Linked DNA regions of Drosophila melanogaster. The protein of the gene in region 2 interacts with the protein of the main gene of each other region in a pairwise test. Each region holds a gene or a part of one and is shown on either strand. Other genes may lie near its edges.

Region 1 (3,756 bases), on a different chromosome or scaffold from region 2:
CACAGTGAACAAAAAATCAGGTCTTTGTCAAATATATTATAGAATATTATTCTAAATAAGTAGTATTTCACTTACAAAAACATATTATATTGCCTTCTGTTTACTGCATTCACTAAGGATATTCATAAACTTTATATATGAGTATATTTAAAATAAAGATCGTTTTTTAAGAGGTATCTAGGGGATTGTTAGTGATCTATGTATTTCACTTGCATATTTATTAGAACCACTTTATTTTTCTGCACTTGACATTTCAACATAAAATCGCTGAATTCCGTCGGAACGAATTAGAGATTTTCCAGGTAAAATAAAGCGATTTAAGGCCAAGTGCAACTGGCCAACCCAACCCAGTAAGCAACTCGGCCACTTCGGCGACCATTATCCATTATCCATTATCCATTATCCATTATCCATTCCCCCCGGGTAGAACCCGCAGTTTCGGATAGGTCAAGTATATGCGGCACTTTATGGGCTTTACGAGTGTAAAAAAAAAGCAAAAAAGCAAAAGATTGAGAAGAGAAAAGAGCTCAAAGACAGATACTTGCTTATTTCTAGAGGCTGACCAGAGCATCTTTTTCATCTTTTTTTTTCATATATATATATATATATATGTATATATATCTACTTTTTTCACCAGTTTCGTATATATTTTCGCTGTAGTTTTTGTTTTTTGCCTGTGGGGCCAACAGGTTCGCTGGCAGTTGGGAAAAAGTCAAACGGCTCAATAATCGAAGACGACGGCTCAGAGTTTTTGAGTCCGCGACTCCGAACTTCAGCTCTTTGAGTCCAGATAAATGAGGACAACAACAACAGCGACAACTTTAAAGAGGTTGTGCGTGTGCCTGTGTGTGTGTGAGCCAGCTGGGATAGGCACACTGTGCGAAAAGAGCATGTACTACTTTGTTCTAATCAAGCTAGGCAGGTCGAATTCAAATTGATTTTAGCACGTTTTCAATTTCAAATGCCACATAATAAATATATTATTATGTTTAAATCTTACAATTTTCAACATATTCTATTATTTTCTGTGTACTCCATTCGAATTAAAAAAATCAGCGAAACCAAAATAAACGAAAAATCAGACAGCAACAAGAAAAAAAAAATACGAAAATATTTTAAGCCCAACGAAAGAATAACAAATGAATGGAAATATTTGCTCACCTCTTCCTTTGGTTTTTAGTGCCTTGTAATCGCTGTTGTTGACTCTTCAAATGTGTGTGTTTTTATATTTTGTAAATTTTCTTGGTTTTTTTTTTTTTTTTGATATTTGTTTATTGCTTGCCCGCTTGATGTGGCTGCATTATATTTCAGCTGTTGCCGCTGAAAGCCAACGGAAAGCAGGCAAGTTTTCAAATTTGCACAATGAAATTGATTTTACAACGCGTAAAATTCCACAAATTATGCACGAAATGCGTTTTGAATTGCACTCAGCCACCACACTCGAAAAAAAGGCTGCCATTCACCGCTCGCCGCGAAGCGTAGCCCAAACCCCCCCAAAAAAAAAAAAGAAAAACTAAAAAAAAAAAACCGTTGCACGCCTGCGCTTTTCAAAAATCTTCCCAGTTCGCTTCGAAACTTTCATCCGCAACGTTGGCCCTCCGTCGACGACTTTCGCGTTCCAGCGCTCAAAGCAAACTGAGCTGCAGAGCGTCGGAATTGGAAGCAGCGAACGGCGACTGCGACGCGACTGCGGCGCGCCGGCGATCAGAGATGAGAGCTTAGCTTTTTTCAAAAGCTTATAAAAAAAAGAGTCATCTTCGAAATGACATTCTCATTCGATTGCAAACGTTTATGTGTACGAATTACTTGAAAATTGAAGAATATAACTTGTACTTTAGAGATTCATGCAGTTATTTAACTTGTTGGCTAAGGATTCAATCACTTTCATAAGCATATTTTCCAAAAGATCAATGTATTGTGTACTAAATGTAGTAGCTGTTTCTCATACTCTTTACTTTTTATAACTTATAATTATACTAATTATGCTTCTATTGGTGTTATGACGTACAGTCAGCACTGATTGCTTGCGAATCGGATTGGCAATCATTGTCGCCGTTCTTTCCGGTTTGCTGGCGTTGCCACAGCGCTGCAATTAAGCGGCTAATTCTGATTTTGGATACCGATTCGGATCCAGACTTGGGATTCAAACATATGTATAAACATATATGTTCGCGGCAACCGCATTAGTCCAAGTCGCAGTCGCCGCCTAGGTTAATTTCCCTCAATTTTGTGGCTTTTCGCATATAGGTTCATTGCTTACATTCATAGATACACAGCGAGAAAATTGTATTACTTACAGATAATTCTTTAAAATATTTAATAGTATTTGATATTTAATAGTATAGTATTTAAAATTTAATAGTATTTAATATTTGGTTAGTTTCTTCACTGGAATATATTTGAACCTTAAGATTTCTCAGGAGGAAGGATTTTTATACCAAGGATTTTTTAATTTCCTCTGTGTAAAACACACTTGGCTACCTGTTGCACACACACACACACACACAAATTCTAGTAATGGCCGTCCGCAAATTGACCCATAAAATTGTAACGTTGCTTGAGCCAAGATAGTTTAGCTGTCCATATATCACTGCAGATACACGACACTGGCCTACAAAAGAACACTTTGATAATTCCCCCCGATGTGCAGTGTTGAGATGGTAACGTTTTGTGCTTAGCCGACTAAGATGATCTTCTTAATATAGAAAAACTAAACTTCAAATCTACCACTTCTCACTGGCCTGTTAACCAGTGCTATTTGGTTGAGAAGTCTGGAACTCAGTGAATCGGCAGTTGTATCCGCGAACGCATAAATAACCATCCGTGGCTATATGTTCGCTGTTGTCCAGTGGTACACCTTCATCGTGTCGATCGAGGTGGCGATCAGATTCTTCGATTTGCATGCCAAACAGCCGGGAACATCGCTAGCTTACTACGAGTATATGCATCCGAGGCATGCGATTCGATTTGATATCCGATCGCCGGCGGCGATGGCCACAAGGTTATCCCCTCCCACGGATCATGGACATCATTAGCTCATTCGTCACGATCGCAATGGGTCCTAGAACCAACGATGGAGTACTCGTAAGTGAGAATCCATGGGTCATTTGGAGAATTGCCCAGATCCAGCAATCGCAACAATAATCATTCAATCCACAATGAGCCCATGAAAAGTTTGGCATTTTCATACAGGTTCTTCTCTTTGGGAAATTGCTTGTTGTATAAATCAGCTCTTTAGGAAACTCTTTTGAATTTGTGATTATATAACTGTGTAATTTTTATTTGGAAAATACCTTGTTATATCCATACAACAAAAATATTAGACAAATCATAATGGATAAAACTTTTGATAGCCGTTTTAAACAAAATTATGCATTGGAAATATTTTATTTTGTTTGATCCTTTAATCACTTTAGGTTCACCTTGATTTCGAAGGTCTTGTAGGTGTATTCCTGGATGACTTTCAGATTCTTAATAATGAACTCCTTGATGGCCTGCACGTAATCGGCGGCGGCCAGGATGAGCTTCTTAAAGGCATCGATCACCTTGCCCTCGCCCTCCAGACGACCCTTGAACTTCTCCTCCGACACCTGGGCAATGAATCCCCGCAGTCCCAGTGCATTGGCCTGGACCAGTGCAAACAGCTCGAAAGCATCCTTGGGCACCCTGCCACGCACCTCAAAGTCACAGCACAAGATCTCCTCCTTTTGGCCTGCCATCTCGAGTAAGATTGAATTTGCCAAAAAAAAAAAAAAA
Region 2 (3,756 bases):
GATGCTTTCTAGCCTCCACTCGGCAGCCTGTCTTGTGCCATTCATTCATTCATTCACTCATACAGTGAGTCTCTTTTTCACCGACTCACGGCGCAAAAGTCACCCAAGTGGTAATTAAAATTATAGCAACAATGCGACGTCTTCTTGGCCAAGAAGATGATGAAGAGGATGAAAAAGCCGCTGGCTGACACAGAAAGCGAAGCCGAAACGCTGTCGTTTGCTAGTGTTTGTACAGGCACACACGCTAACAAGTTGCGGCTGCTTACATATTTGCTAGGAAAAGGACACACAAGACATACACAGCCCAGCTTTGACTTCTTGAAATATTTATGAGTGCCCGCCAACTCGACCCAAAGACGCTGGTGACAAGCCAAGAAGAGCCCGAAACAAAAAACCAGTGAAGTGATTGTCACAAACCCGGAAAATACTATATGCACTAAGTCACCAGTCTGCAGAGTTTGGCGCTTTAAGTGTTGCAAAAATTATTTTTCACTTTTAGACTTTTTGTTTATTGATATTAAACTGCAATATATGCGTTCATCACACTTCAATTTTAAATGTATTTTTCAAAATTAAAGTAATAAGAGAATGCACATATAATGTTCTATATTTTCAATTGGCAATAAAGGGGATATATTTTGTTGTTTCAATTTTGCACTCAACAAAAAAATAACCCCAAGGGTTATCCTTCTTATGGGGCAAAAATAATAGATGCCTATCTATCTATATAATTTTTATCAAATGGCAAGATTTCTACGTACTTAAGCCTATTACTTTTGTAAAACAAGATTAAATTGTTTAAGAAAGTAGTTCTAAAATGTGAATTCTTGTATATTTCTAGACAGTGAAACTGGAAGCTAACTAAGCAACATAAAATAATTAGACAACAACATCGTTCCATTATTTTCGGCCATAGGGCATTTCCTTTTGCCAGCATCTACATTTTACAAATATGTCGCATGAAAACCCAAGGGGTTAAGCTCCGCATTTCGAGGTGAAAATTTACATGGGCCTCGAGATGATCGTTTAGCACATCATTAAAAATGTGTTGCTGTGCAGAAAGTTTCGAGTGCTCAGCACTCTGGGGTGGCAACCGCTCTCGAGTGGCAGAAATAAATAATTAAAATATACAAAAATGCCGACCAGAAGAGCACACAATTCCCGCCAAGGACGAAGGTTAATGCGTGGATTCGTGGCGGTGATGTGGGTTGAAATCTGGCATCAGTTTCACTGGCCTGCTGACAGGGCAACTTCACCTACCTTCAATTATTTACGGTGTGCGGTGTTCCGTCCACCTGCTTAATGCATTTGCAGCCTCTCGGAATTTTCCCAGCTGTGGAAGCAGCAAGTCCCAGGATTAATTAGTACTGAGTCCCAGGACTTTCAGCGAATCAAAGATTCTGCGGCGTGGGTATAATGTAATTAACGTGTGTTTTCCTTGGCTTCTACGCAGTTGAAGCTGCAAAAATGGTTGCAAGTGTTTTCTTTGCATAAACTTACACACACAAAACACGTCCTTCGATTTTGGTTCACTGGTTACGCGCTAACATTCACAATTTTCAGATGCACGATTGTTTTTTATGCAAGTAAACGACAAACAGTATGTTTTACTTTTTAAATAATTTGTTGCAGCGGAAAATGGAAACGTTTTTCTCTGTGGCCAAAGAAAATTTGTTCCGCTTTTTTGCGTCGCAGTTTCGCTTAATTAACAAAGTCGACGACTGAACGAAATGTCCTTTTTATACACACTTGTTCGCTTTTACCTTGCTCAAGTAAAAGCTTTCGGCTCTCTCCCGCTCTCTTTTGCCAGCTTTCTCTCTCTCAACGCGCTTTGCTCTCACTTTTTTGAATACCCTGTATGCAGTGAGGGGTATGATGAAGTACTTTTCAGCTAATTTTTAATGAAATGGTTTTTTGGAGAGTTTTGTTTTCTCAGTAATGACCATACGTTCCTATAAATATATATACTTTAGATAATACATTGTATTTTTCTGTGTTTTAATACAGAATTATACAATGAAACAAGCCACTGATTGTTGCAACCCCATTTTTTATAACTAATTAGTTATTCATTTATTATGTATTAAATTATTTCAAAATTAAATGTTAGCATCTTTGTAAGTTTAATGGTATTTTGAATATTGTAAACCTTTCATATAAAAGCTCTGCTCTTACAAAGCTCTTTCTCTCTCGCTCTCTCTGTAACTCTATCGCTGTGTTACAGCAGAGAAACAAAACAAACAACAGAGCGGAGCGGATACGGAAATGGTGCAGGCCAAAGACTGATGGCCGACTGATTGTGGCCATGTTGTCTGCCCTCCGTCTCTGTGTGTGTGTGTTTTTGTGAAGGTATAGATTTATCAGTGTTAGTGTGGGTGTTCATGCAACGCGAGTGGCAAGCCAGCTGGGAAAAATACTATGCAGAGCGTACGCAACGGGAGCGCAGCGAGAGATTTTTGCGGCCCATTGAGTGTGAATTAAGAGATGCCGGCTTAGTGCGAATCCTTGCTTATACATTTATGGTATTCTTTTTTGTTCCTCAGCTACACTGCATATATGGATCCATGTATGCCCTCGAGTGGCGGATGCTGGAGGCAGCCCGACGAGGATGGATGCTGGGTACTGAGTACTCCTATGAGGTTTCCGCATTTCGCTTTTCAGCATTTTTGTGGCATGCTTTTGGGGGAGGAACAAAATTAAATCTCCCTGGTATTGGTGCAGTAAATATCATTTTTAATCTGAATATTAAATATTGTGATGTGTAATGCAAAGAATGCCATTTTGAACTCTTGAAAAAATGTGCTTGTGCTGTCCTTCAACTACGGTCCTTGCACATTTGCAACAATCAAAAAGGTCAAGGGATGATTGGTGCAATAATTTTTGTTTAAGCAGTGCTCCAAAAACTTCCATTACAATTTCCGACTGTCATAAGCTGAATTAATGCTATTCCTAATTTTTTTTGCAGCTAGCATTAATCCCTAAGCGGCCATTAGATTGTCAGCAGAAAAAAGATCTACAAGCATTTGTGTTATTTAACTCGTTCCACTTTTCCATTTCGCTTTTCTATTTGGGCGAAAGCGCGAAAAACTCATTCCAGTCAGCATAAATGAAAGCTTGCGTTTGTTTCCGAAAAAAGGGAAATTTACGTTGGCAGTTGCAATCCCGTTTTGCGTGTTGCAAGGGATTCCGCACGATTTCCTGTTCGCCACGGACACTTTGCCTCCCACAAGTCCTGCCACACCAAACATCACGTCCTTCGCACGTGCAAATGAAAATAGGTTTGACTTTGCTTATATATAAAAAAATTTATTGCGTTTAACTTTGCGGGTTGAGGAGTCGAGAATGAACGAGTTTTTCATGCTTAGCGGCATGCCAAAGGTGGGTATCTTAGCGCTAAATGGGGTGGGTATTCCTAGAGTTGAATGAATCGCGTTGATATGTCAGCTGCTTGGTTTGTTGGTATCGACTTAGGATCTATACTTAAAGGCTAGCGATATGTTGATTTGGTTGCTTGCAATCGTTTCACAAATGTACAATTAGTCGCTGAAACCGAAGACTACAGAGATAATACAAGTAATCCGAAGTGATCTTGAGACCTCTGATGTTCTAACTGTCCAATTTCCGTTTCAAAAACTTCAAAGGCCCAAGGCACTCTTTCGAATATCTTAAACATATAATTAGAATACCGATAACTAGTTCATACTCATTTTATCCTTTCATTTAGTATGCAATGGATGAGCTTACAGACTAAGCAAA

The links. Proteins that work in one complex are often made in the same cells at the same time.
Region 1: the proteins of CG14853 (region 2) and CG15365 interact in a two-hybrid assay, tested with the Drosophila melanogaster proteins (one large-scale study listed by BioGRID).

What each region holds. Positions count from the first base shown.
Region 1 is NC_004354.4:9,066,347-9,070,102, forward strand, and holds the start of CG15365 (uncharacterized protein), read right to left. Parts: upstream 1,638-3,756; 5' UTR 1,162-1,637; intron 1-1,161. Other genes in the region: CG10970 (uncharacterized protein), read right to left, coding at 3,408-3,719.
Region 2 is NT_033777.3:14,607,612-14,611,367, reverse strand, and holds the start of CG14853 (uncharacterized protein), read right to left. Parts: upstream 1,727-3,756; 5' UTR 1,261-1,726; intron 1-1,260.